Linked DNA regions of Schizosaccharomyces pombe. Changing the gene in region 4 together with the main gene of any one other region gives a genetic interaction. Each region holds a gene or a part of one and is shown on either strand. Other genes may lie near its edges. The genes, in order: sap114, imp1, htr11 and SPOM_SPAC1B3.02C.

Region 1 (7,447 bases), 3.8 Mb from region 4:
GAGTAACAGCAGTTGTAAAGCTGTATTCCACTAATTGTTTACACAAGTCAGTAGATAATAAACCATTACGACATACCTTGCTTATTCTGGTAGGTTTTAATTCAGTAGTTGGTATCGCAAAATCGAAAAATCGTCTAAAAGTTTTAGGTGCTGGCAACGATTTATAACGAAGATATGAGACAGCCGAGACGAGCAACACATCCCTTCCAATAATCAAGCTAGCAAGAGTTACTAGATAAGGTTAGATATTACTAATAAACACAAAAAGCATACATGGCATAGTCTCACGCACCGCTAAACATATTGTCAAACAAGTCATTAACGTTTTATCGGCTAACGGATCAAGTACTGTCCCAGCAATGCTGCCTAAATCAAACTTTCGAGCTATATACCCATCAACCAAATCCGTAAATCCAGCATATAAAAAAAAGCAAGCAGCAGCTTTAGTATAATCATAAATGTAAAGATAAGCAATTAATGGAGCTGAAAGGAGCCTTGAGAATGTCAGCAAGTTTGGCAAGGTAAAAATATTCTCACGCAAAGGCCTTTGAATAGGCTTACTGTTATTACTTTTTGTCACAGTGTTTAAAACACGAGAAGAGGTGTGAAATCCACGAACCTCGCCCATTGACTTGTTCAATTTGGCAGCAGGAACGTGTTTGGATAGAGCCCAGCGCACACCTTCCCATACATTATCAGAAACGTGCTTCGCAGAATATTTAGGGCTATTGTCTCCTTGGAAGATACCAGTACGTACTAAAATACTAGTCCAACCGTAATTATTCGCACCACGAATATCACTTTCGGGGTTATCACCAACCATGAAAATTTCCTTGGGAGGATTGGTGATTCCTAAAGTTTTATGCTTCTTCATTAAAATGTTTTTAGCATAATCATAAGTCAGCTTATGAGGTTTTCCATATTTCGTATTTCTTAAGTCCTTTCCAGTAAGTTCTTTAAAAACACTTTCACAGCAAATTGCAAAAGCTCCTTGACCTAAGCGGGGAAGAGGATACTCATTAGGCCAAATTAAATCCGCACTATAAAAGCTGTTAGCATTCACTCATAGTATTCGAGTACAGCTTGCAAAAATATTTTTACACAAAAGATACTTTCCAAGAAATAACTTACTTAGAAAAGTAAATATCGGGACCTTCATTTGCTGTCTTCGAAACTGTTCCTAAAACACCATTCTTCGACTGGCCCAATTCCATCACCAATTGAAGATCCAAACCAAGTCGGACAGGATCGACATAAGTGAAAACTGCTTCAATGGGTCTAGTAACGTCAAAGTCTTTTGCATCTTTAATATCTTCTTCGTTAAAAGATGTGAAAGGCCAAAATGGAGTTCCTAACTTTGCGATGACATCGAGTTCATTGATAACACTTTTAAACCCATACTTTTCAGCAGTTTCACGGACGCTGTTGTCTTTTCCTCCAAGAACCAAGACGTGCTTATACTTATCCGCAAGAGCGCGAAAGGGGGTATGTGATTGACAAAAATCATCCTCTGTTAAACTTACGCTCAATGTCTTGGAAAGACGCTGAGCTCTAACACTCTCATGCATACCACCTCCATTCGTTAACAGAATAAAAGGTATATTATTTTTTTGCAAAAATTTCAAACTTACAAGTTAGTTTGAAAATGGTAGTTCATAGTTAAGCTTACGTCTTCGTTCCTTCTTTCAAACCTCTTCCTCCTCTAATTAAAACTCCATCAATACTGCTTTGGTTAGTTTCAAAAATCGATCATTAATTACTGTATTACTCAAATGCGAAACAAACATCTGCAATAGGGCTTTTAGTAGACGATTCGGTCGTAAACTTTCGAAACGTTGAACGCCCTAACTGCCTGGCAGCCAAATGCCAAGATCTATAATTGATAGTATGTAGCATTTATTAAAGCCGATAAATGAAGAATCAACAATGTAAGAAGTAAAAAATTAAGAGGTTTGTGCGGTTACGTGGTATGACAACTTAAGGATGACGGTGGGCGGGTATGAAAACCAGACCCGCATTTCCTAAGTTAAAATCCAGCTTTGTTTAGTGTATTGGACTTTTTATAATAAAGAATATTTGTATTCTCAATTAGTTGGAGAAAGTCTACAACACCTGGTTTATTTACATCTTATTTATTTCACGAGTTGTAGAAGCAAATTAACTAATAGATTTCGGCGTCCTACGAAGCTTAAATAAAATAAAGTAAAAATTAACAAAATTAAAAAAAGTTCTATGAAATCTACCGGCGTTTATTTGTGGGAGTTGCTCCCCAAGCGCTCTGAGTAGCAGCACGTTTTCTTCGTTCGATTTCCTCTTGAGAGATTTCTACCCCGTTTTGGACGTCAAACAAATCAGTCCGTTGACTAACCAATCTTTTCATATTTGCAGCAACGTTCACGTTCTCTAAATTTAAAGTTGATTTCCTAGATTCTTCAACTTTGCGCTGTTCCTGCCAGCGAGGGTCAAGTAATTTTAGACGCATATGCTCTTCTAGTTCTGTAGCGGGAACCAATTCACCTGAGAAAGGCGATATCTCCATCGGAACTTTGGGCTGGAAAGCTAAACAGGGTCAGTAAAGTTACAATAAGGAATATAAACTTACCCTTTGGTACTGGCTTTTGTACCTTCGGCTGAGTAGTGGTAGACAAAACGGGAGAAGCTTGTGCGGCAGGAGAAACTGAAGTAGTTGAAGAAATACCTCCTTTTTCTGGAGAAGCAAGTGATGGAGGAAGAGAAACACCAAATTCTTGTTTTTTAGGCGCACTTATGGGCTCCCAAGGCTCCGCTGTAGGAGGAGCTTCCTCAATAGTGTAATTTTGGTCAGGCATGGTAAACATGGCAGACTTTTGTTCTAAAGTAGCAGTTTGTAAATCCGCTAAATTCGTAGGTTTAGCTAATTTTGCATGTTCATCGGACTTTGTGAATTGAATCACTTCAACAACGACAAAATCGTTCCAATCAATTTGTGCATATTCCACTAAGACAAGTTAGTTCCAATTCAAATGGTAAATGAAGAATATTGGACTTCCTGAACCAGTTTTTGCATCTCAATATACACTTACACTTCTCTTTTTCGGCTTCTTCCTTTTGTTTTTTCTTTTGGCTCTCCATATGCGATTGCCACCTTACACGCGGCTGAATTTTAGAAAGTAAGCTATAAGGGTCTCTCACATTTTCACGAAGCTCCTGTTCTGGCGAAGAAATGGGCTCTCTAATTAGAGAAGTATATTGTTGAACTATACGCATAAAGTAAGGGTACAATGCATTATTTGGCTTTAAAAAATCAAATTGAGTGTTATTCCACTCTTTTTGAGAAAGACTCACTAAGAAAGAAGAACCACGAACTGCCGCATATCGCGCAGTTAAACGGAGCACGTCTCTAGATTCACGGTTAATTAGCAACTTCAAAGAAGAAGGAAATAATAGTTGAGATGATACTTACAAATCTAGTGATGAAATAGAAGGAAGTGGTTCTGAAAACAAGTACGGTGAGGGAGCAGGAATAGTTGCCTCTATAGGTTTTTGAATGGGACGAGCCAAAGTGGATGTTTTTTGGGTTGACAAGCCTGTGGCATGACTCTTCAATTTTCCCTCCCTCGCTTCAGTTAATTTGTGCTGATAATATGGGTGGTAGGGGTCATTAGCATGCAAGAAAGCAAACTTAGTATTTGCCTGTTCATTCTGGCGAATTTTTTCTTCAAAAGCTGGGCCATTTCTGGCAACGTAACTAGCAGATTTATCAATTATTTCTAAGCTACGTTAGCAGGCGCGTCTATTGTACTAATTACTATGACTCACCTCGAATTGCTGGAGGAGGTAAAATTACCCCTGCAGGGACCGATGAACTTTGATCAGTGATGCTTTTTTGGTGTTCTGTTTCATTATTTGTCGTATTTCTGTCTTGGAATTCCATTAAAGAACTCATATGTGAGACTTATGCAGAAAAAGGTAGTGGTGGAAGGACACTTGTCGCACAAGGCAGATGAAGCGATGGACAAGCGAAAAGAAAGGACTATTGAAATTCAATAGAAGTTTATAAAAGTTTAGGGCGACCTTGCTGCTCTAAACAGTTGTTGCCTAGGGCATCCGTAATCCACTGCGGATGGACAAATAACATCAAAACGGTTGATAGCAACAATTATCCTTACAATTTAGAATTTAAAAGATAGTTATAGTGCAAGTTTTTTTGCAAGCTACATTATACATTTATTTATCGGTAGAAGGTTTATCTGCATTCGTTGCTTTGCCTTTATTTCTACACACTAAGACGCGTAACATGTTTACCCTCTACCAGTACTTTATCGGAGAATAAGGAAAGGATATCCAGGTAGTTTCTCAAGATGCAGTTAAACCGGAAGCAGTTAAAGAATCTTCATAACTATAAATATAGTGCGATTGATAACTCACTTCTTTCAAAATATATTTTGAAGCCGTACTGGTGGAATCAACTTTTGAAGGTGATTCCCATGTCTATGGCGTATGATCTACACCCGTTTGCTTGCTTATTCTTACTAACTCTTTACTTAGACCTAATTTGATTACTTTGATCGGGCTTGGATTCGTTGTTATCAATATCCTTACTATGCTTGTGTACAAGTATCATTATGAGATGGATGCTTTCCCATCATGGGTGTATGCTTCTTGGGCGATTGGCCTTTTTCTTTACCAAAGTTTTGACGCTATTGATGGCTCGCAAGCGCGTCGTACTGGCACATCATCTCCATTAGGTCAATTATTTGACCATGGAGTAGACGCCATCAATACGAGCTTTGAAGTTTTACTGACGATTGAACTGCTGCAACTAGATATGTTTAGCTCAATCCTTACTCAATTTGCCAGCTTATTATACTTTTACATCTCTACTTGGGAAGAATACCATACGGGTACTTTGTACCTTTCATACTTCTCGGGTCCTGTCGAAGGAATTGTAATGGTTATTGGACTATTTGCCCTTACAGCTATTAAGGGTGATTCTTTCTGGCTCAAGCTACATCCCACTCCCGAGTCATGGGGATTTGTACGTTCCTTTCTGCCATACTACACATATGGATCATGCTTGTACAACTTTATGGCATTTGCCCTGCTATTGAATGTCTTACAAAGTTTACGAAATGCTCTTCAAGCCGTCCAAAAGAACAACGGAAGTGTGATTAAAGCATTGAGTGGTATCCTTCCCTATTTCCTCCAATGGATGGCTGTCTTTTCACTCTATGCCAAGTATCCTGCTTTCTTTGAACATCATTTCCTCACTATTTTTTGCTTGAACGCTTTTATCTTTGCTTATTCGGTTGGAGTGGTAATTGTTTCTCACATTACCGAATCTCCCTTCCCATACTGGAATGTGCTTATTCTTCCATTCTTGGTGGATGCCGTGGACGCCTATACTTTTGGCGTATTAAAAAACGTTCAGACGGAATACTTTTTTTGCTACGTTGGAATTTGCATTGGTGTTTACGGCAACTTTGTTGCACATGTCATTGCCATGATTACGGAAGAGTACGGCATTAAATGTTTGACTATTCCATCCAAACCAGAGTCCAAGAAGAATTGAACTAGATGATGATGGTTTGGACAGAATAGAGATGAGAACAAAAGGGTCCAGAGAGATTTTGTCATTGATAACCTTTCGGTCGATCTTTTGTTCTGCAATGTATCTAACGGATCAGAAGTATCAAAATGATCCATTTCCTAGTAGACAGGTTTTTTTCGGTTGTGTGTTTTCTGCCAACAATATGTTACTTTTGTTTGTTTTCCTGCTGTAGTAATAAAAGTTGGTTTTTTTACCAGAACATAATAATGAACAAGTATTTCACTTGCGACTTCGTTCACTAAATGATCCAGCCTTTCGTATCCTTTTAACTAACTGTATATACTGATGAACAAATGGTCCATTTGTCTTCTACACTGCAAACTTGCTTTTCACCGTGGAATACCGGGGCTGCACTAACTAAGATGACTGGTTCCACATGTGCAGACCGGAGCACTTTTCGACAACCTTCTTTTAATTAAGGTTCTTATGGCAGTTCGTAACGATTTAACAATTTCAATAAATAGCCATCGTCCTGTCCCATTGCTTCTTTGGGCATTGGTAGAGTTTGCCCTTTTAAGGCAATCTTTTGCTACATAAAGGTGACTCAAGTTTACGCTGCGATTTTACTACTTTTCTAGCATATGATCTACAAAAGGTCAGCGAAATTTTTCTTTGACTAGGAAAATGGATTGAGGTCATCTTCGGCAAGGCAAGCTGATATTTAATTTAATTGTTCATATCGGCAACATTTCGTAATTAGTTGAAGGGTATGAAAAACGGTTCTACGGTTATCTAGATGTGTTTATTCACTGTTTCAGCATAATATCACTTCCGTTACGTGCGGGGCACTTCGTCATGCAAATTGGTGGTTATATAGTATATATAGAGAGACAAGGCCAGCATTATTAAATCGTCTTCAAGCTCCCTTTTTCCGCTACACTCATAACTTTTACGAAATAGCGAAACGAAAACGAGACATAACGTAACGAAACGAAACGTTTACTAGTATATTCTTGGTTTATTTATTTTGTATTTAAACCAGTTGAAGCATAGTAGCGTATAAAGTGTTAATTTTTTCGCATTGAAGGGAATTTTGATATTAATATTTTGAGATTTTAGAGACACATAGATTTATTTCTTTAATCCTTTACTCACACTTGCACTTCCCCACCACCTAAAACAAGTCATTTTATATTCTTAGATCATAAATTTCGGGAATATTTGATTTAACTATCCAACTTATATTTAATTTTATTTTAAGGCTTTATTCTCTTTTTTTTACCTTTTTCTTATTATTCTAAAATATGGATAAGCACTTTATCAACGATCCTGAAGTCCTCGTCCTTGATGGCCTTAAATCCTTGGCCGACATGAACAAAACTTTAACTGTTCATGAAGAGGGAAAATTCATCTATTTCCATGACTACAACAAAAAGAATGTCAGTGTCATTTCCGGCGGTGGTGCTGGTCATGAACCCACTCATTCTTCGTTCGTGGGCAAGGGTATGCTTACTGCCGCCGTCTCAGGCTCCATTTTTGCTTCTCCTTCGTCAAAGCAAATTTATACCGGTATTAAGCAAGTCGAATCTGAGGCTGGCACCTTGGTAATTTGCAAAAACTACACCGGTGACATCCTTCACTTTGGTATGGCCTTGGAGAAGCAAAGAACGGCTGGTAAGAAGGCTGAACTTATTGCCGTTGCAGATGACGTATCAGTAGGTCGTAAGAAGAGCGGTAAGGTCGGACGTCGTGGTTTGTCTGGTACTGTTCTTGTTCACAAAATCGCTGGTGCAGCTGCCGCCAGAGGGTTACCTTTGGAAGCCGTTACGACCATTGCTAAGGCTGCTATTGACAATTTGGTTAGTATCGGTGCTTCACTCGCTCACGTTCACGTCCCTGGTCATGAGCCAATTGCAA
Region 2 (5,975 bases), on a different chromosome or scaffold from region 4:
CATATTATCATCAGGGCTGAAATAGGACACATGATAACCGGCCAAATGTTTCAATCCTCTTGGCCAATTGTAATTTTAAATCTTCATTTTCTGATTCTAAACTCTTCCTCTCCAATTGTTTTTCTTCAATGGAGTTTTGTAACTTTTTAATTTTCTCTAATTGATGTTTTGGTGCAGTGGAAATACCTGGAAGTTGGTTGATCAAAGTGTCTATTTGCATAAATTTTGTAACCAAGTCTTTTGCTAGATCCCTTTGAGCGACTACAAAAAGAAGTTAGCACATAAAATGACTAGAGGACGTCTAATATCGTACATTGTAACTCTTCAGCAGAAATTGGGTTCACTAATAATTTGTTAGTAGCTACTTTGAATAGCATCATAATGAATCTTGTATACCTTTAGAATCAGAAACCTTTTCTTGACCAGGTAAAGGAACGAAATCATGATGAGAACTTAAATAATGAATGGAAGAGTAAAATTGTGTGGCAACCTACATAGGTTAGAATAGAAAAAGAAAACTAGTCCCATTACCTCATCAATTGTATCTTGAAGCTGAGTACACCTACATGCCATTTTTTTATGTAGGTGTAATATGAGTTAAAAAGAGTTGAAAGTCGCAAGTTGTTGAAGGTCCATGATGCAGGTAACAATTGTTGAAGCGCAAATGTCAAGAACAATAAATCGCTAATTAACTTTTCTGTTATTTCAGCATCGGATATTTATTATGCACAGCTTTTGATTTTATGACATTGTTTGTAATTGTAATGTATCGACCTAAAAACCGACTGTCTAGCAATCGGGAAAAAGAATTAAGCTAGAATCACGCTTGACATAAGCAAAAGAAATTTAACATAAAACAGTACATAAAATTTAAAAAAAAATTAATGGAAAGCGAAAAAAAATAAACTACAGAAACTACAGAATCAGCTAAGTATTTTTAATTAACATAGAAAAACAATGATAATAGTAATACATTCGACATATTTATTATATTTTTGATCGTGGAAGGGTGTCCGAGTGGTTATGGAGCTAGTTTAAGGCACTAGTGCGAAAGCTCGTGGGTTCGAGTCCCACCCCTTTCAGTACCTTTTTGATAATCCATTCATTCTGAGTGTTTTCATATTACGTGAAGGTGCATTGTTATTAAAATTGCAGTACTCTGCTTTTAAAAAGATAGCGGACAATGCTACAAATTCAATACAATCTATCCTTTTAAGCAAACATAAATCACTAAATGTTTAACGAATATGCTACTACGGGTCTTGAATATTCACAATATTCTTTTATTAGGAAATGCATTAACCACCGGTACCTTATAATATTCTTACGAAGTGGGTACACACTGAAATAGCTCATTGGTGACCCGAAGAACGGAGGTTAATTTATTTCATAGTCTCGTATATTTGGCAGTAGTTACATCAAGAAGCAACAAATGGTGCATCACTGTCAATATATGTATATATACTATAGATAAATAAATACAAGGCATGTGACTTATATAATGATACTTAACGTAACGTACTATCATCAACGCTTTATTCAAAATAATGAAATGTGCTAAAATGTGATAAAATATTTGTGATACCGCGTTGAGAATCATATTGAAAGAGGTTGCAAATTGCTTCTTGCACCAACTTTGGCTCTTATGCACAAGCAATGTCTTCTTCCAATTGGGAAAAGTTAAAGAAGGTATGAAAGGCTATAGTTTCCATTAAGTCATTTAAGATTCTTGTTTAAGTATACTAACGGTATTGGTTGTTTAGAAACTCGACAGCGCTAAGAGTGGACGGGTTGAAAAAAAGCATTCTAATGAAAAGAAATACCTTAAAAGTGTGAAAGGTAAAAACAATGAGAATGAGAATTCTTATATCGTCGATAAAAAACGCATGAATGAATTAAAGAAATTTGCTAAGGAAAATGATATCCCTGAATCTCAAGTCCTTGACGCATATGGCGTGGATGCTTCCAAGCTTACCAGAAAAACCAATTTGGAAACATTGGGGAAATATATTGCAATGGATTGTGAAATGGTTGGGGTGGCAGATGACATGTCAGTTCTTGCACGCGTCAGTATAGTTAATTATCATGGTCATGTCGTGTATGATACTTATGTCCGTCCTAAAGAAAAGGTTACGGATTGGAGAACATGGGTCAGTGGTGTCAAGTCATTTCACATGCGGGATGCACCTTCATTTGAAAAAGTACAAGCAGAAGTTGCTAAGATACTCGACAATCGAGTATTGGTTGGACATGCTGTCCATAACGATCTCAAAGTACTACTTTTATCGCATCCAAGAAGAATGATTCGTGATACCAGCAGATTTTCTGGGTATCGGAAATTAGCCAAGGGAAGGACACCAGGGCTTAAAAAACTTGCTGAAGTGATTCTTGGGCGTGACATTCAATCTGGACAGCATTCTTCCGTCCAGGATGCCCAAGCAACGATGGAATTATATAAGAAAGTAAAAAAAGAAATGGATGAAGTTGCATTCAAAGGTTTGTCAAAGTCATAAGCTTTGAATCACTAGACTTCGTTCTGGTCATTTGGGATTTGGGTTTAATAATATGCAAGAAAATGTTTCTTATAATTTTACTGGATATGTGTCAGATGTTAAATATATTTTCGGTTGCTTATAACAGCAATATTGTTTTCATTGGCTCTTATGAAATCGTTGGTTTTCTTTCTTTATTTATCTCTTCTGTTTCCTTCGTTTCTGGTTTTAAATAGTCAATCTATTAATAATTTTTAGTATAAATAAATGATGCATACAACTGAAGGAAAGAAATAATGTATGGAAAAAACAAGGATATAGAGATTTATCAGCTTCGTTTATATGGTCTTCATAATTACTTTGTGAATTAATAAAGTTAATGTTATATAATTAGATTACTTCCTATAGTGTATATGATTTAGAGCATTTTAACTGAATGACGATAATATGTTTTCAAGCGCCGTTAAGTTAATTCCTAAATTTATATAAATACCGAATTAATCTTTATTATCACAAAAAAAATAAAAAATATATATATTAATAATAGCTACCAAATAAATTCTAGTTAGACAATGGACCATTAATGTATACATATTAATAGCTTACAAAACAGATACGGAAGTGTTTGAAAAATAAGTATTTATTCAAAGATTAAATTGCTCAACTATATGTATTATATAATCAAAATAAAAATAAAAATAGGCCAACTTGACAGGTTGTTTAAAGAAAAATTCCATTTGTTTTTAAATTTTGAATTCTTGTTATAGCATTCAGCTTGTTAAAAACCCAAGAAAAATTGGTTGATGAGCTCAATAAGCATGTTGTTTTACCCGTTTTATGGTGCGAAGGTTTCCAATGACAGAACAAAAATGATCTAGAAAGTTTCAACGATTTGAACCGGAAAATGATATATTTCAAATTATTCTAAATTTATTATTTTTGAACATTGTTACCTGGGTGCCGGCTGCTTCTTGGAACGACACAAGTGCTCTTTTACCTCCTTATTCTCATTAAACTCGCAGCAACCACAACTGTCTTAGATAACTAAAAAAAAAAGAGTAAAAAGGATATCAAAAAAGTTTATTCCTATAGAAATGGAATCGAGATATTTATCAGATAGAAGAAGCCGTTTTAAAAGCAAAGGTGTTTTCAAAGCTGATGAACTTCGTCGGCAACGTGAAGAACAGCAAATTGAAATCCGCAAACAAAAACGTGAGGAAAGTTTGAATAAACGAAGGAATTTAAACGCTGTTTTACAAAATGACATTGATGTGGAAGAGGAGGCTGATCAGTCTCAGGTTCAAATGGAGCAACAAATGAAAGATGAATTTCCTAAATTGACAGCTGATGTGATGTCAGACGACATTGAGCTACAATTAGGTGCCGTCACGAAATTCAGGAAATATCTTTCTAAGGAGACGCATCCCCCTATTGATCAGGTAATTGCTTGTGGTGTTGTTGACCGGTTCGTACAATTTTTAGAAAGTGAACATCACTTGCTTCAATTTGAAGCGGCTTGGGCCTTAACAAATATCGCTAGTGGTACCACAGATCAAACCCGTATTGTTGTTGATTCCGGCGCTGTTCCTCGTTTTATTCAATTACTTTCTTCACCTGAAAAAGATGTCCGTGAGCAGGTTGTATGGGCCCTCGGTAACATAGCTGGCGATTCTTCTGCCTGCCGTGACTATGTACTCGGTAACGGAGTTTTACAGCCTTTACTTAATATTCTTCAGAGTAGCGCTTCTGATGTTTCTATGCTCCGTAACGCTACATGGACACTTTCTAACTTGTGTAGAGGCAAAAATCCACCACCTAACTGGTCAACTATTTCTGTAGCCGTTCCAATCCTTGCTAAGCTCCTTTATTCTGAAGACGTTGAGATTATTGTTGACGCGTGCTGGGCCATCTCCTATCTTTCTGATGGACCTAACGAAAAAATTGGCGCCATTTTAGACGTTGGATGTGCGCCCAGGCTTGTTGAACTTTTGAGCTCTCCCAGCGTTAATATTCAAACTCCTGCCCTTCGCTCTGTGGGGAATATAGTAACAGGTACTGACGCGCAAACACAGATCATAATCGATTGCGGTGCTCTCAATGCATTCCCTAGTCTTCTCAGTCATCAAAAAGAGAACATTCGTAAGGAAGCTTGTTGGACTATTAGCAATATTACTGCTGGCAATACCCAACAAATCCAAGCAATTATTGAAAGTAATCTTATACCTCCATTGGTCCATTTACTCTCATATGCCGACTACAAAACAAAAAAAGAAGCCTGTTGGGCTATTTCTAATGCTACTTCTGGCGGTCTCGGTCAGCCTGACCAAATTCGTTACCTTGTGTCACAAGGCGTTATTAAGCCACTTTGCGATATGTTGAACGGATCCGATAATAAAATTATTCAAGTTGCTCTCGATGCCATTGAAAACATACTTAAAGTTGGTGAGATGGACAGAACTATGGATCTTGAAAACATTAATCAATACGCTGTCTACGTTGAGGAAGCTGGCGGTATGGATATGATCCATGATTTGCAATCCTCCGGAAATAACGATATTTATTTGAAAGCGTATAGCATCATTGAAAAGTATTTCAGTGACGAGGACGCAGTTGAAGATTTGGCACCTGAAACCGAAAATGGCGCCTTCACATTTGGCAATGGCCCTCAAGCTCAAGGAGAATTTAAATTTGATTCTCAAGATATGGCTATGTAACGTTTAAATTAATTTTAAAAAAATTTTTTTTGTTCTAATCGAAGCGCACATTATTTACATGTTTCACTTAGACAAATTCTGTTTTCCATTACTGGTGCTTTTGTTGGGTTTGTATTTCTTTTTTTTACCCTCTATTTTTAATTCAATTTAGCTATTTGTGAAGCTAAGTATTTCTATTAGGATTAAAAACTACGGTTAAATAATATGTTTACGAAAAAAATGAGTGTACTACTAAAACAGAGCGGTACAGGTAAATAGCATGATATCACTAAAAATGTTTATATTCGTAAGAGCTGCAACTAGGCAAAATAGAGAAGGGGGTTTAGGATCAAAGAAAATAAAAATAAAAGAAAGCAGCGGGGACGATATACACTGTTAGGTTCAAATGACTTCGACTAATCGGTGAATGCAATTTGAAAACCAATAATGACGCAAATTTTTGCTAATAAGCATATATGCAAATCAAATATGACTGAAAAAAACTGCAGCTGTCTTATCGTATTATGTCCCTCGAAAAAACAATTTAGGCACTAGCTAAGACCTTTTCGATTTCACCGAGACTTTCATTGAGAGCATCCTGTTGGAACTTTTGGGTAGAAACTTTGCTGTTGACACGAGCCAAGACATCTTCAACGAGACGTTCCTGTTGTTCAGCGCGAACGTTGGCTTCGTGATGAACCCAGCTATCCAACACTGATTTAGCTTCTTTAGCTAAAGCAACTCGCTGTTCGAGCTCAAAGATCTCAGCCTCCATACGGGCAGTTTCTTT
Region 3 (10,373 bases), on a different chromosome or scaffold from region 4:
CTACGATTTCTCAGGCGTTTTTTATTCCACGTTCTATTATTTGTTTAGAACCATTTTTTTTATATTGCATAGTTCTTATTTTCTTTTAAAATAACTTTCTTGAACGATTCTTCCAAAAAATCGATCAGTTTGCATACTCATACGCTTAGTACTTAATTGTAATTCGTAAAGTTGGTTCCTAAAAACACCAATTTTATAGCTTCCTAGATTTTTTCTCTATTCCTAGTTTGGGTTAATTTATGTCTGGGTATAGTCCTTTGTCTTCTGGACCAGCAGACGTCCATATTGGAAAAGCTGGGTTCTTTTCTTCGGTTATCAACCTTGCCAATACTATTTTGGGAGCTGGAATTCTTTCCTTACCAAATGCGTTTACCAAGACTGGTCTGTTGTTTGGGTGTTTGACCATCGTCTTTAGTGCATTCGCTTCTTTTTTAGGATTATATTTTGTTTCCCAATGCGCCGCACGACTCCCGAGGGGAAAGGCTTCATTTGCTGCTGTTGCCAAGCACACCTTTCCCTCTTTGGCTGTTGTCTTTGACGCTTCTATTGCTGTTAAATGCTTCGGTGTAGCGGTAAGCTATTTGGTTATTGTAGGCGATTTAATGCCCCAAATTGCTCCATCACTTGGTCTCTCTTCTCCAATGTTCCTTAGGCGCCAAACATGGATTGTCTTTGCGCTTTTCGTGCTTACTCCACTCTCGTTTCTTAAGAGGTTGGATTCTTTACGGCATACGTCTGTGATCAGCCTTATAGCTCTTTGTTACCTTGTGTTTATTGTTTTGTATCATTTTATCATCGGGGATACTGTAAAAGGAGAAATCCGCTACTTTGTTCCTGAGTCTGGCTTTGGCTATTTATCTGTTTTGCCCGTTTTCGTTTTCGGTTTCACTTGCCATCAAAATGCTTTCAGTGTAATAAATGAGGTCAGAAATTTCTCTCAAGGGTTCGTCAATTTTACTATGTTTACTGCTATTATTTCTTCTACGCTTTTGTACTTGCTTGTGGCTATTACGGGATATCTTTCATTTGGATCTCTGGCATCAGGTAATATTATCGCAATGTACGATAATACCAGTATTTGGATTATTGGTGGAAAGCTCGCTATTGTTGTACTAGTCCTTTTTAGTTATCCCCTTCAATGCCATCCATGCAGAAACTCTGTTTACCAAGCTATACGTCGCTCTTATTCTGCTCATGATATGAGTGATGGTTATCATGCCGTAATAACATTATGCATATTGTTATTTACTCACTCTCTGGCTCTTTTGCTGTCTTCTCTTGAAATGGTCTTAGCTTTTGTTGGAAGTACCGGTAGTACTTTTATTTCATTTATTCTTCCTGGATCTTTGTATTATTTTTTCTCTCATAAAGTTGCCTCCCCAGGTAATAGCAGCCCTCTACAGTTACGAATTTCCAGGGCCTTCGCTGCTGGACTGGCTATTTATGGCACAGTTGTTATGATTTTGTGCTTAAATATTAATATTGCAAAGTTATCTCATTAATTTTACTTTGGCAATCTTTTTCCAATTTATTTATTTATTTCTTAATTATGCGTTTAGCACTTCGCTCGAAAATATTATTCAAATTCCATTAAATACTAAACGCTATTTCTCTTTAATTTTTTTTTTCTTTTTCTTGTTCATAATTACTTGTTCGTTATGTCTTAACCATTAGGAAACATTCTCGGATTTTGCTTTTACTTCCTTGGTGCATTGCTTGAATTAATTTCCGGACGCAGGATTTGATGCATCTTCAGATGGGTACCATACTAACCAGGATTGACATGGAATATAGTGCCATGGAGGAGCTGAACCTTGTGTCAACGAGGTCTGGCCCTGGAAGTCCGAATCTCTGTTCGCTTTGTTTTCATAGCTTTGATGGTTACTTTCATCCGGTATGTAGTAGAGAAAGTTCATATTTCCTCCATCGGATAGGGTAATTTGAGGAGGATAATAAGGTTTTGGATATGCAGCAGCTTCAGGTAAAACAGTATGATTGCAACCAAATGATTCATAGGCGGTATTGAAAGGAGTATTCGTGTTCCCATAATTTGCCTCATTGGTAATATCTAGGAATTGATATTCTTCGCATATTTTACACAACCTTTCGCATGCATTATTCTCACTCATAAGTCGAAATGCCCGCTGAAATTCACTCTGAAGTCCTTTGACGCTAGGATTGTCAGCAGTATTTGCAAGGTTTCGAGCAGTATTGAAAGGCTCTTCGACACATAAAGAATTGTTCACCTCCATGGCCCAACCTTTTTCCTGTTTGTTCAGTACAGTTCCCGATCTCACAGATACCACTGAGTCCAGATAATTAAACGAAAATCCATAGTAGTAAAAAAAATCTATTAAAAGTCTCCCTAAAGATGTTTTGTTGAGAGTTGCTTTCTCCTTGAACCCGACAATGTCATCAACAAACATTTTATTATCATCATTACTCATTAAATCGAGCATTGCAGGTAGGATTGGGGGATTTCTCGTTTGCAAAAAATTTACCAGCATACAAGAAATTGTATAAGATGTAATTGTTCCGCTGCCTGCAGCATCACATAGGGCCCTTTGCTTTGCCCAATACTTGATAATTAATCCTAGTGGCCGTACTCGCGGGTCGATTGAGACAAAGAGACGAAGCATCTTAGTATTAATCTTTGCCACGTCGTTATTAATATTTAAGTCACAGTGTATGTCAAACTGTGGATCCCAAATTTTAACTATAGGGACTCGTGCTCTTGAAACGCAGACAATTTGTTTCATGCCATCTGTTTCCTGGTTAGCTTAATTAAAATAGACATACTGATAACTTACAAGAGTAAAGTAATTGAGCCAATTGACATGTTGAGTTTAAGTATTTGCTACCATTGGTGATAATGCACACATCAACGTCCGACTGTTGTATAGCCAAATTGTTCTCAGTGGATCCGAATACAAAGAGATCCAATTTAGCATCTTTAATTTCGGTACTTAAAATAGTGCGCAGCTTGTCAACAAATTGTTGACGCCTGGATACTTCTTCATTAGAAGGTTTTAGTCGCATATATAATTTCCAGCACTCGTTAGTCAGTTCAGCATCCACTGTTTCATTTATTTGGTCATTTCTATGTTCAGATTCTTGTAGTTGTACTAGATTAGCATCAAAACGTCTTTTTTTTTGTTGCATTTGTCCTTCAAAAGGGCAACAAGTAAATGTCAATAACTCCATATTATCCAAAATTCTGATAACCTCTGTAGGTGGTTTTAAAAATAATTGAGCATCAATGCTATTGTGCAAAAATTAAAGTGTGTAGAGTTGTGTGCTTGGAATATATTCCTCATCACATAAAGTATAAACAAATGAGCCCTTTGTTTACATGACCAACTTTATGCTCATAAACAAATATAGTTATTTATAGTAAGTTAAGCCTCCTAAATAAAAATATTAACTTAAAAAATATTAAATGATGATTTATTAACGCCTAATAACCTAAGCCGAATTTGCAAATAATGGTATGTGAATCTACATTTCAATTTATTATAGCAACCAAGTGAACCGCTCCAAGTTCAAATAATCAGCTCCAGCTTAAAATAAATCCTCATAATACTTTACTAGAGTAATAAAACATAGATAAATATACTTTTCAAAAGTGCAGAGCTACGTAAGTTTTGGTCTAAAAACAAAATTTAAAAAGAAAAATTTCATTTCTTCAACTAGTTCTTGAAGAACAGTTAATATACGTTAACATTCATGAAACATAACAGGCATATAATAGCAAATCGATATGATACAAACAAAGGGACATAAGGAATTTTAAGAACAAACTTCTTTGGTCTTACGCTGTAAATGTTTAGTGCACCATCTACCATTAGAATCTCTTTCAATGATACAAGTAGGCCAAAATAAGGGATCTGGTCGAACACTGACTATACTAGTAGCACCACGACGGTTCATTTGCTTAACCTGAACAAAAGTATCAGTAGGCTTCTCTAACAACATATGGTAGAAATCGTCAAAAGTGTTAATATCGTGACCATCTACTGCAACTATCCAATGCGCTGCACGAAGCATATTCAAAGCTGGCGAGCCATATAATATGCTGCCGACGTAAACCCCTTCAGGTCCAGGAAGATCAACATCAGGCTCAACTTGCTCGAAAACGCTTGAATGCGTTGGGTGAATGATAGCACCCATCCAGCAAATTGCACGAGAACTAAAAGTGGGATATTCGGGATACAAGGGAATTGTTATTTCCATTTCAATTCCATCGCGAAGGATGACCGCCTTTATTTCACTCTCGGTTTCAAACTCATGAAGGTCCGATAGACGAGTAATCATCTTTCCATTAACCTCCAACAGAATATCACCGACTCCAAGAGACGTTTTGTGAAGTAGTGGGCGCAAATGAGAAATCACATATAAAGGTCGAGGGATGGTACCGTTTTCTCTGGATTTCATATAAAATTCAGACGATCTGGTTTGGGATAATCCAAGTGTAGAAGCACCTGCCAAAGTGATATGTGACCATTCCACCCCAGCTGTTGTTGGCACATGCTGCGCACGAGCTGACGGTGGTAACTTAAGCCTTTCGAGAACGGGAAGAATGTAAGACATTGAAAGACCATATTTAGTGGTATAGTCTTTTCCACCAACATCTTGGTGAACAACAGATATCCAGAGTGCTACTATTTCGCGATCGTCGCCTACTTCTCGAAACACTAAACCTCCAGTAGAAGCTAAGGAATCCATTAAAGAAATGACTTCGCAATTTACGTACCGGAATCTAGGTGGAGAAGAGCGTTCTGTTTCAACAACAGATACACTTCGCACTGTTGTTTTCTTTGTCAGCAATTGCAAATCTTCGTCGAGAGCAGCCAGCGTGCATTCATCTCCTGTCCGCAGGAAATCAGCGACGAAGTTAAGTTGCACAGAGTTACTGGGCAAGTAATCGCACGAGACTACAGCAATTCTATTGTCCAAAAAAGTTAAATGACCCATGGCGCTCATCGACTGGAAGGTCAAGCGAATATCGCAAATATCAACAGGTATAACAGAACGATCGACAACTATTAATGGTGGCACTACAGAAACAATTACTCCGGTACCACTGTATAGCTTAGTAGAGCTGAATCCGTTGATGCTATATGGCATTCGACAATGAACCAGAACCAATGCATTTTGAATCGCTTCCATACTTTTGGATCCCTCTTGTGGTCTCGGAATTACACTAGGTCGGCGAGAAATAGACGGCTGAGGAGGAGGGAGACTTTGTCTGTCCCATGTCCCTTTTTCATCATTCCTTGAAAAGATGCTAGCCAGGAAAAAGTGTCTATCAACTGTCACTATCGTGAATTCTTCTTCATATTTACCAAGGACTCTAAAGTGCATAGGCACTCTGGCATTATCCGTCAACTGGACCAAAACATCAATGAAAGCATCCAAAGTTGGAGTGGGTTTATTGGCAAGTCTGGTAACTAAAAAATCGCGGGTTCCAGAGGACCAATTGAGCATACCAGAAGAAGCCACATATGTACCAGAATTTAAAGAAAATTGGTATGAACGAGCAAGCTGATAAGACAAATCGTGAAGCACCGCGCCTCCGACTTCCAAGAAGCGTGAAGGCGTTACGTTATGCAAGTCTTGTACAGTCAGTTGAAACGTTAAAAAACCACGTTTAGGACGATAAACATGCAGCTCAATCGTTTTACCGACCATTTCATCTAAAACTTCGAATAAAGAGACAAAATCAACAATGTATGTAGACTTATGAGAGTCTGTTTTGAAAGCAATTAATATATCGCCAGGTTCCAAAGCCTTAGAGACTTCAGAATTTCTGAGAACTCGCGAAACAACCAAAAGACCAGTACTACTAGGAACACGGGTTCTACAATCGTATTCAAATTCCCTTGGAAGGCCAATGCGACTGAGTTCGTCGTATGACCAATGTAAAAACTCGGTAAGAAGAGTACCACGAGTAATAGGAGTATTGTTCTCAATACATCGCAAAGCTCGAACAACCCGGTCCAGAGGAAGATAAAAAGAAGAGGCACTGCTGTTGGATCCTCCCGAGTTTAAAGCAACGGCGGCACCAGAGATGTCAAGAACAGGACTGCCAGAGCTGCCTCCACTAGTTCCACTAGCTGCCTGATAATAAAATGTATTAAAATCGTTGTAGTTGTCAATTCCGTAGTTTGGAGCTGGACGATCAAGACGAGCCAAAGTGGAGCTTAAAATAGACAATTTTTCACCAGCATCGTTACCAATAATTCGAATATCTATACCTACCTTGGCTGATTCAGGGGAAAGTGAAATTTCAGTGACATCGTGGAATCGAATGGAAGATGGATCATAACGAAAGAAGCCAAAGTCATGAACAGGATCTCTGTAGATGGGATAAATATCAATTTCTTCATAGTTTATGAAAGAGGCACGAGCTGAAATGGGTCCTGGAGAAACAACGTGTCTGTTGGATAAGATAAGACCAAGTGTTTTATTCACGACAAAGCCAGTTGCGCAAAAACTACCGGCGCTTTCAGTATCAAAAGAGCGTAATGCGGAGCCTTTAATGGAAACGATACTTCGAACAACATTTTTAATCGTATTATCCCATGTATGGTGAATCTCTTTGGTATCTAGATAACGTTCTTCATCTGTATTGCGAATGGGAAATGGTTCGCTAACATTGTATAAACCTTCAGCAATAACATTCTGTTGCTGGGGCGTATTACATTCAGAAGTAATTTTATCAGGACGAAATTTGGGTAGGAAAATGTGATTAGGCCGATAATCGGAGGAAACTGGAGTCATGATGAAAGGTAGAAACCGACAAGAATGTAAACAAAAGCACAAGATACAGAAATTTATAACAAACACAAAGAAAAAGCGGTTGAACACTAGGTATACTTTTGAATCTCGATAGTGTTTAACAGGCTTTGCTTTGTAAACTGGACAAGCTTTAATTGGAAGAATAAACGAATTTAAATAACAAATGAAAGTTTATAATAACTTTTGGGCAACACAAGCAAAGTTCTAAACGAGCCGCGAAATACTAATTATCAAGGCCAAATAAAACTCGAAAAGTCAATCAAGTACTGACACTTGTAAGCCTTTTTTGTAGGATAAATGGAGAACACTATATAGCGACAAAGATCTGTTTTCAGTTATACAAACATACAACAATGTCTGTTTGCAAGGAATTACAAATCAATTGCGCAATGGCTATCAGATGGATATATGAAGGAATTCCTATATAGAAATCTCAGTATCCTTAATTTGACTACTCAAGCAATAAGATAATTTACCTGAAACAGTTATAATATATTTAGTAAATCAAATATTTTGACAATCTGCTTCACTTTACTGACACACCAATGGCAAGATAACGATAATAATTGCAGACGGTGGCTTGAATAGTTTGCAGAAATCCTTTCCAATTCAGAGATAAGAAAAGATTAGCCTTTATATCTTTTTTTTTAATTAATCAAACGAAAATGACAGGAGTAACGACAAGTAGAAACAAAATACACACACAAAAACGAAACAATAAAATAAGTAATCAAGTGTATGAATGAGAAATTTTAAATCTTGTAAGCCGTAAAAAAAACGAAAAGATTTTAAAAATTCCCAAACTCCACTGTATGGACAAAAACGAAGCGAAAAGAGAATGGGATTTGCAAGAATAGTTTTGATAAGGTCAGTAGCAATCGGGGAATGCTATGATAATAAGCGTAGAACAATGATCTCCCTTTCTTTTCTTTTGCAGATAAGCTCGATCCTGAATTTTAAACTACGCAGTTAAAAGTAATATTTGCGATATGATGTCTAAATTTCGCTATTGGAAGATTCTTGTTTCATTCGTTTTGCCCATCGGCAACGCGGGCTTTCAATTCAATATATATGTAGGTGAACGATGTTTGCTGTAATAGTTAACTTCACTAGCGTCTCATACCACCAGCAGACAAAGTGCGTGGCAAGCCGTTTGATCAACAATTCTATTGCTCGATGATTTTTAAGAGTGATGTCAAAGTCCGAGTGCGGCAAAAATAAGACAGCGTAGCTTTAGAAGTGATTTCGATGAATTTCACTCAAACGGAGGATTGCGACGAACAAGGAGCCGCAATGTCGTTTGTTCAAAATCGGATTTCTTGGTTCCGTGACATTTTGCAAATAAGCTAGAATCCATCTTCATACGACTGTGTCGTATTGAATGGAAATGGAAAACTGAAAGAATGGGTTCGAAATGGAAAACGACATTCTGAGGATGTTTGACAGAATCGGTTATGTGAACCGAAAGTGAATGTACGTGGTATTAGCGTAGAATTGTTTGAAAACTAAAATGGTGTTACTTTTTGAAAACTGTTTCGTTTGTAGTAGGTTGATGGTTGAACAAGACAAAACAAAGATTATTAAGGTAGCTTTAGATTCAGGGATGTTTATTATGACAGTGTTTGATTTGGGTAGGAGATTGACAGTTTAAGTATGGAAATAGGCATTCAATAGCATATTTGAATTGAATCACTAATGAACTCGACTCGCATTACTTTAACATTTTGTCATTTGTTGTGTAGAAGAGAGTTTGAGAAGACAAATCAAAGATGATCAAAGTTGGTGTTATTAAATAAATATCATGCCGAAAATACAGCTGAAATAAATATTATATACGATTTTAACGATGTGGTGCTAGATGAGGCTGAAAATCTGGAGGTAAAATCATGTATGAAATATATATTTCTCCACAATTAACAGGTATCTTGAAGCCGTGCAGGGTAAAAGTAGTAAGGCTGTCGGTCAACACGCCAAGGAATGCATTGTGCCATTGAATGACCATATTTTAATATTAGAAGGTTGTATTGATAGTATACGGAATGAAAATTAAATTATTAGGAAGAAACGGGAGTCGAGGTTATCGCAGTAAGCATATTCTCAAAATATACAATTTCGAGCTCTAAACAAACAATGATTGGCTTCCATGTATTGGAGTCAGCAATCTGTCTCGCCGACTCCAAAGAGTGAAGAGTCGAGGTCAAGAGTGATAATACACTAGTGCGCTGAACGTCAGTTAATGGAGGCAAAGCAGCTTCTGATAAAGAAGTAGGCCCCAGTATTGAGATTAGTTTTGTTTCGACAGCTTGGATTTGATGGATCAAACGTTGGAAGAATTGCATTCCTGGAAGTGCTTGCCCGACCATTAGTCGCAAAAGATCTTCTCTTTTCTTCAATACTTCCATCCGTTTTTCAAGGGAAGATACATTAGCATGTGCATCATACTGCTCCTGCAGAGTTAAAAGGCGATCTTCCATACTGAGTGCCTTTTTCTTTTCTAGATTATCATAAGTCTGGAGTCGTTTTACAAGGGTGTTTCGTTGGTTCGTTACAATCGCCAACTTTTCCTGCAAAATTTGAATTTCCTCATCTAAATGTGTAATGCTTGTCTTTAGATTCGATATTTCTTCCGCTTTGTGCACCTCTGCCAGACTTGCTTTGGTCGATTCAATTTGGGATAAAATGTCTGTCTGCGAGTCCCAACGGCTCTTCAATTTCCTTTGCTGGCTCCTATATAAATCAGCGTTTTCTTGACAAGCTTGACACCATAACTGCAACTGCTCAGCGATGGCTTTTCGAATCCTGGTCAAGTCGTTGGGCTGTTTAGATTGAAACAACACTTCAGCCAGCTCATCCAAAAGCGATTGTATTTTCCTTTCCACTTTTGGAAAGGAGCCACTTTCTTCCATATTGTCAAAAAGCTCTAAGCTACGCGTTCTTGTCGATAAGCCAGAAGAAGAGGTACCTTCATCATTCAGCATCCCTTCATTAGACTTGTTTGGGAATTCGTCTAGCGGAATATATTCTTGTTTCATTTTAAAAAGGTATAATACACGAAAAATCTAGTAAATGCGTAAATTTGGTAAGTTCAACCCTTTTTTCTTCATAACAGAAAATTATATCGCATTCAACATCACTAGTGTAAGTTTTTCGCTTTTTTTATATACGAATCTTTATTTTTTCAGTCTTCCTATCTTTTCAAGAAACCAATCCGTTCAAAATCACACTGTAAAATGTATTTCTTAACTATCAGTGTGTGCAAATGTCTATGTGCTATAGTGGAACAATGTTGAATAGTCGCGAACTTGTGTTTATGAAGCCAGTAGACCTTTAATAACAATTCAGACTTTCTCTATCTCAAATATTTTTTTTAGTCAACTAAAATTGCGTATTAGGAGCGCCACTACTATCATGAACTTCAGTCCAAATATTAAACTAAACTTACAACATCTTAGAGTTTTTGGCACCAAAAAAACTTTTGAATATCCTGTTGTGTCTATTATTTCAATTTTTTATTGTATTTCTATATGATTCAGTATATTTGTAGCAAGGCTTTTGATAACGTAAATATACGT
Region 4 (6,710 bases):
TCATTTTAGAAATTGATTATTTACATTGCAACACCATCGATTGAGCAATTTTATCAACACACACAGTACTCTTAGCGCACAGTAAGCAACCCCGTTTGTTATGATATATTAATATGCCTCGTTAGTTCGTCAATATACCACTTTACATAAGTGTGGCCAAAGTAAAGCAATAATGACGAGACCAGGAGGAAGGGCAACCCAATATAAGTTGAAGAGAAGACTTTGAATGCTTAACTATTAAGTGTACAAATGGCAGTTTTATCAAGAATTATGAAACCTTACAGGGCCTTTCAAAGGCTTCCTTTTGAGCTCAAACCTCTGGGTTAGTTACTGAGAAAACCGAATTTGTCAAATCACTAACGAATTTTAGCAATCCTCATTGGAATTGCTGGGTCCACTGCAATATTTACCATGGGATATAAGATTTATTCTGATCCTGAAGTATGTACAATTATTTCCAAACTTCTATTACTATTTAAACAACGGCCACTGACCTATATTTACAGATTCGACGCTCACCAAGTTGGGTAGCACAAACACAACAAAAAGAAGAGACAAAAGTTAAGAAACCGCAATTTCATTAAGTGCTGTTAAAATTAGTCTTTTAATGTTTAGTGCGTGGTTGTGTGTTTAATTGAGCAAATTTTCAAAGCAACTTTAGGCCTTCGTTCCAAAGTAAATGTCTCCAAAATCGCCAAGACCTGGAACAATGTATCTAAATCATATGTGTTAAAGATTATTCATGAATGAAATAGCGATCAACTTTGTATTGACCTCATGAACACTTGTAGTGTATCGTGCACATACCCATTGTTGTCGAGTCCCTCATCAATTACGGCGGTAACTATACGTATATTGGGGAAACGATCGTGAACATTTTTCAACCCTTCAGGCGAGGCAATTACATTGAGGAAAATGATTTGTTCTTGTTTGCAACCCATGTTGATAAGAATTTCCATAGCACAAATAGCAGAGCCACCAGTGGCTAGCATGGGGTCCAAAAGTAAGACATAGCGTTTAGAAATATCTTCGGGAAGCTTGATGTAGTGTAACACAGGTTTATGAGTTTCCTCATCACGCTGTATCAAAATTTTTCCAATACGAACAGAACGACAGCATTCACGCAATCCTTGTTCCATACTTTCGCCAGCTCTCATAATGCTAACGCCGCAAATACGACCATCAAACATTACACCCTCGTATTCAGCATTTTGAGCAGTCGTTACCTTAGCTGAAGACACTGGCAAGTGGTTGAGGCCCTCTTCAACAATTAAACGAATGATTCTATTGGCATAAAAAATAAATTCAGACTAAATATCATGTTAGCAGGGATAACAGATTCAACAAAGAATACACGAGAAGTTGTCGAATGTACTAACTGATAATGAATGCTTCCTATCATCCACTGATAAACATTTATCTCCCCATTAATAGAGGAAAAAGCTAAAATTTCTTGGACATATTAACACATTCATTTCAATTAGTTCTTAGACCTTGACTCAGTAATCTGTTGTAAACTGAACGCGCATACACGAGGTTTCGTTTTATCACGAATGATGGTAAACAACCCTTTTAATTGATTTGTCTGATTTAGTACGTACACATTTCCATGCTCAGGTACCAGCGACATCTTTTTGACGATGTATGCTTAAATATCTACCTATCAAGTTGTTTACCAAGTAAATGGTAAAAAGTAAAAGCACAATAACACATTTGCTTTTAAGCTATCAATAGCAAAATGAGTTTTATCAACCTTAGTATATTTCGTTAAACATAAATAAAGATTTACAACATCATTTCATAATAACATAATTATGATTAATGCGTTACTTAGCGCAGTAAAAGATTTCTACTCTAGCAGGCTTGGCAAAATTAAATAAGAATATCAATTAACTATTGAACATATTTTAGGGCAAGTTGATGTTTTTAAATGAATTACTGCTTATATTTAAGAATGAGAAAGACAGTACAAATTTTTGAAGCACACATTCATACAATTGGACTCCATGCAGCTTACAATCTTAATTGGATTTCAATGTTTTTTACTTGTAATTCTCAATTCATCCAACTGTATTCACAAGAAACCAAGAAATGAGTTGTATTGTAAGGATTTTTAAATCAAATGCAGTAAGAACACATGAACATATTTTCATATCTCTTTCATTCTAGACATTTTTTGTACATGGAGAATACAATAAGTACAAGGTCGAAGTCAACCACACTCTAGGCACTCGTAATTCTTAGCCTGTCATAGTGAACAGCGATTCTACCAAACCAAAAACAAAGCAATGAAATGGCTATCTTGCCAATGAGCAAGATATCACACCCATATTGATGGTACATCCGAATACCAACAAATAAGCTTAACACTATCGTCCAATTGTCGGTTCATCAGATGGAATCTCGAAATTCGTATGTTCGACGTCTTTAAAAAGGACAAATATATACAAGAGCATGCCTAGATTTGTATACACTAAGCTCGTCCGGTTTTGCCAAATACAGCGTCTTGTTCATTGCAATGTAGTTAATACCTTCTTATCGCTTCAGAGAAATCTCTTAATTGAAACGACTGAGCATCAACGAAAATAAGATCACCATAAATGAACGGAAACTTTCAACATTTAAGCTCTGAAAAGAATCTTCCTTTTGCAAGTTAGGCCAATAGCAAAAAATCATTCCTTTTCTTCCTCATAAGCTGCTTCAGGGGAATAGGCTTCTTGATCATTTATATTATCAACCTCTTTAGCTTGATTTGCAACAGCATCACAAGCATCAATCCAGTCGCTGTATACGTCGATGGGTGCCGAAAGAGCTTGATAATGTTAGTAAATAAGTGTACAAGAAAATTTCATAAAAGAACAAGAAATAAGAAGATAAAGAGACGATATAAAAGAAATTAACCGCAATATTAATCGTAATAATTTACGTGCCGCTATTGAAATAAAACACCTCTTTCATACCTGTAATTAGACATTGATGACTCTGACCACAAATTTTGCAGTGTAGATTTCCAACTCCTGATTGTTTATCACTATCAAAGTGTTAAAAAAAATGAAAGTAGTTAATAAGCATACAGACTACAGCTCACACTTTTTTCGTGGTTGCAAAATAGGCACGTAAACTAGTAAAGTTAGTAAATTTCGTAATTAAACTATAACTCACAGTCGTATCTAATGGGGGTGCCCTTCTTTTGGGTTTCACTTTTGCTTTTGCTTTTCTTTTACCCATTTGCAGAATCTGTTTACGTTTTGCAAACTGCAGATTCGTATTAGCGGGTTCACATTAGCACTCTCATCCTTAGGAAGGGTAATGCGGAAACTCATGTAATTTCGACACTTGGTAAGAGACGGTCTTATTTAATTTTAATGAATTAAATGTTTAAATATGATATTCTTATTGAGTTTACTGATGCACATTTGTTTCTAGAGTTCTTTCTATTCATGATGATACTTTGCTGTATGAAACGCAAACGTAGGCATACCAGTCTTACAAACGAAGCCAGATCCTCCATAAGTAAATCTTGCACTCTTTCTCGCAACGTAGTTGACCTTCTATGGTTATTTTGTAAATGCGATAAAACTCTCATTGACTAACTAGAAATTAACGTAAAACATAATTGACTTCTCAGCATTCACGTGACGCCGATTAATTTGGAATTACTGAAACATCTTAGCATAGGCCTTTTGTTGGCGCTTCTTATAATCTTTTTTCTTTTGACGAATTTCTGCAAGCTTCTTTGAAATTGCAGGATCGTTACCAGCCTTAGCAAGTGCTTTCTCTGATTCTTCAAAATTCTTCAAGAGACCTTGAGCACAACCCAAACGATAGTATGCTTTCTGTTTCTCTAACTCAGTAGAGTTACTGGCCTCAATTACAATGTTGGCGTTTCGAATAGCTTCCTGAGGTTTGTTCTGCTTCAAAGCTACAAGGGCAAGGTTTGCGTATATGCTGTATCGTAAAGCATTATACTCTTTCCAGAAATCAGGGGATTCCTTAGAGTCATCGTTGGGAACAGGGTATTCCATTAGGTAGCGCAAAGCTTTTTGCCATTTGGCAACGGCTGTATCCAAATTTTGCTGAGCAAATTGCTTGTTAGCAATTCCCTTTAAGTCGCTAGCAATTTTGAAAATGGCAGTCTCGGACTTATCACCCTCGTAATCATCAGGAAATTCTTCCAGAGAATCACCAGTAACGTCTGGCTTTGGTGCCTCAATCTGATCCTTTGTGCAAGTTCCACATTCTTCAATAACAACAGGTACAACCGGATCGTCATTTTTGGTCTCCAAATTTTCAATGGTACGAACAGTAGATTTTCCTTGAATTACCTTGCCAAAAACAACATGCTTTCCATCCAAATGAGGGGTGGGAACAGTAGTAATGAAGAACTGAGATCCATTGGTATTAGGGCCGGCATTGGCCATGGAAAGCAAGAAAGGCTTATCATGCTTGAGCTCAAAGTTCTCGTCCTCAAACTTCTCGCCGTAGATGCTTTCTCCACCCGTTCCATTACCACGAGTAAAGTCACCACCTTGAAGCATAAAGTTCTTAATTACTCGATGGAACCTTGAACCTTTGTAGGTTAAACAACGGCCATCCTTCTCAAACCCATTACACAACGAAGCAAAGTTTTTGACAGTTTTGGGAACTACGTTGTCGAAAAGTTCAAAGTAGATTGTTGGTTGAATTTTACCATCAATGCTAATTTTAAAATAGGCGTAAGTACTCATTTCGTGCAAAAAAAAACAATGATCGTTTTTAAGTAATGATATTTCACTGCCAGTCTCCTCAGTGTATTCACACCACAAAGTTGCTTTAAGAAGAAGAATGAATAGCGATTTTACGCAGACGAAATATACAGATCTGTGCAAACTATTTAGTTTTAGTTATTAAAAAGGTGGTGATTTATATTTGCAACCTACTGCGAAGAGATTTTCTACGAAACTTCTAGAAACATACTGTATTAAAAAAATGCTAGCAGAAGAAAATTTGACTTTTTATTAGACCAAAAAATATTTATACTTTTTTCAATTAGATTGCTTCTTCGTTAAAAATTCATAAAATACCTGATTTAAGTTAGCACACACGGACTATAAAGAAATATAAGTGCTGTTGAGTGAAGTCAACAATGTATTTAAATTTTAAAACACAAAATTGTGTTTCCTAATAGTTTTAAAACATATTTCGATGAAGTCTTCAGGCAATGTAATTACTTACCGATTTGTCAATTGAAACATTTCCAACTGACTTCAATCTCTTTTTCCCTTCCTTTTGCTTATTAAGTAGCTTTTGCTTCCTTGTTACATCTCCCCCGTAGCATTTTGCTGTGACATTTTTTCGAAGAGCCGAGATAGACTCCCTGGCGACTACTCGGTTGTCGATGACAGCTTGAAGTATTACTTCATATAGTTGTTTAGGAACTAACGGCTTCAACCGTTGAATCCATTCACGGCCTCGCTGAAGTGCAAGCGAGCGATGCACTATAGAACAAAGAGCATCTACAGATTTTCCACTCATAAAAATTGATAGTCGCACCAAATCAGCAGGAACGTAATCCGATTCTTCATAATCTAAGGTAGCGAAACCACTTGTTGTCCCTTTTAATCGACCAAAGAAATCTTCAACCAGGTGAGCAAGAGGTAATTGATATTTTATCATGCATCGCGATTCGGACATATAAGTGCAGTCCTTTTGGAGTCCTCGACAAGATTCACACAACTTGATAACATCTCCTAGGTACTCGCTCGGTGTTATAATTGTTGCATCGACGGTGGGCTCTAAAAGCTCAGATATACCTTGATGATTTGTTGGAAATAGATTAGGATTCGATATTACTTCTTCCCTTCCATTTTTATATTTTATGCGATACGGTACTGTGGGAGAAGTGATTAATAATTCCTTTCCATATTCATCCTTTAATCTGTCAATAAAGACAGAAAGATGCAACGTTCCAAGAAAACCTAAACGCCATCCCATCCCAAGAGCAGACGAGTTTTCTTTTTGTACATTAATAGCACGATCATTAAGGGCCAATTGTTCGATGTTATCATTTAGTCTCTCGTAATCCGAGCCATCCAAAGGAAAGGCGCCAACATAAACCATTGATTGGGGAATAGAGAAACCAGGTAATGCTTCAACATTAGATCCGATGGTTGAATATGTATCCCCGACAATTGCTTCATCAATATTTTTCATATTCCAGATAATATAACCAACTTGTCCTGCTCGAAGACGCGAAACTTCGGTCATGTCAGGATACATAATTCCAACTTGTTGTACTTCATACTTTCTACCTGTGTTTACACTCATCACCTTTCCTCCTTTTTTTATAAAGCCCTCCATAATTCGCACCAATCCTATAACTCCCTGGTAGCTATTGTACCAACTGTCTATCAACAGGCAGCGTAACGGAGCATTTTCTGACCCCTTGGGAGGAGGAATTTTTTGTATGATTTCCGGTAGAATTTGTTCGACATTTTTTCCCGTTTTAGAAGAGACTAGGATGGGCTTGGACATAGGGATATCAAAAGTTTGCTGAACTTGAATCAAAGTTCTATCCACATCCGCAGTTGGCAAATCAACCTTGTTCAGAACTGGAATTATGACCAAGTTTTGGGAAAATGCCATATAAAAATTTGACAACTAAATAATACGTTAGCTTAGAGTTAATATATTGATACCTAGGTTATTTGATGTTGCTTTGCTCATCATCG

The links.
Region 1: mutations in SPOM_SPAC1B3.02C (region 4) and sap114 together harm fitness more than expected from each alone (negative genetic interaction), as found in Schizosaccharomyces pombe (one large-scale study listed by BioGRID).
Region 2: mutations in SPOM_SPAC1B3.02C (region 4) and imp1 together harm fitness less than expected from each alone (positive genetic interaction), as found in Schizosaccharomyces pombe (one large-scale study listed by BioGRID).
Region 3: mutations in SPOM_SPAC1B3.02C (region 4) and htr11 together harm fitness less than expected from each alone (positive genetic interaction), as found in Schizosaccharomyces pombe (one large-scale study listed by BioGRID).

Annotation. Positions count from the first base shown.
Region 1 is NC_003424.3:1,170,231-1,177,677, forward strand, and holds sap114 (U2 snRNP-associated protein Sap114), read right to left. Parts: upstream 4,219-7,447; 5' UTR 3,926-4,218; coding exon 3,799-3,925; intron 3,750-3,798; coding exon 3,443-3,749; intron 3,380-3,442; coding exon 3,063-3,379; intron 2,978-3,062; coding exon 2,603-2,977; intron 2,560-2,602; coding exon 2,240-2,559; 3' UTR 2,121-2,239; downstream 1-2,120. Other genes in the region: cardiolipin synthase/ hydrolase fusion protein Crd1, read right to left, coding at 1-30, 77-231, 274-1,040, 1,132-1,626, 1,670-1,726, 1,769-1,896; ept1 (CDP-alcohol phosphatidyltransferase class-I family protein), read left to right, coding at 4,341-4,477, 4,528-5,551; dihydroxyacetone kinase Dak1, read left to right, coding at 6,835-7,447. UniProt on the Schizosaccharomyces pombe protein: Involved in pre-mRNA splicing. May be involved in endoplasmic reticulum-associated protein degradation (ERAD) and required for growth at low and high temperatures.
Region 2 is NC_003423.3:3,913,040-3,919,014, forward strand, and holds imp1 (importin alpha family nuclear import signal receptor adaptor Imp1), read left to right. Parts: upstream 1-3,515; 5' UTR 3,516-3,586; coding exon 3,587-5,206; 3' UTR 5,207-5,475; downstream 5,476-5,975. Other genes in the region: srb7 (mediator complex subunit Med21), read right to left, coding at 11-261, 314-343, 397-490, 532-573; exoribonuclease Rex4, read left to right, coding at 1,657-1,689, 1,764-2,513; F0-ATPase subunit atp4, read right to left, coding at 5,730-5,975. UniProt on the Schizosaccharomyces pombe protein: Functions as a component of the nuclear pore complex (NPC).
Region 3 is NC_003423.3:502,333-512,705, reverse strand, and holds htr11 (serine protease), read right to left. Parts: upstream 8,356-10,373; 5' UTR 6,784-8,355; coding exon 3,790-6,783; 3' UTR 3,650-3,789; downstream 1-3,649. Other genes in the region: vacuolar amino acid transmembrane transporter Avt5, read left to right, coding at 240-1,502; poly(A) polymerase Cid11, read right to left, coding at 1,722-2,764, 2,811-3,204; SPOM_SPBC1685.04 (uncharacterized protein), read right to left, coding at 8,856-9,833.
Region 4 is NC_003424.3:4,926,289-4,932,998, forward strand, and holds SPOM_SPAC1B3.02C (Elf1 family transcription elongation factor), read right to left. Parts: upstream 3,258-6,710; 5' UTR 3,229-3,257; coding exon 3,163-3,228; intron 3,122-3,162; coding exon 3,075-3,121; intron 3,032-3,074; coding exon 2,961-3,031; intron 2,813-2,960; coding exon 2,673-2,812; 3' UTR 1,884-2,672; downstream 1-1,883. Other genes in the region: protein Min8, read left to right, coding at 250-322, 371-441, 507-584; SPOM_SPAC1B3.01C (uracil phosphoribosyltransferase), read right to left, coding at 658-715, 808-1,310, 1,532-1,630; cyclophilin family peptidyl-prolyl cis-trans isomerase Wis2, read right to left, coding at 3,657-4,727; GTPase GUF1, read right to left, coding at 5,025-5,063, 5,215-6,639.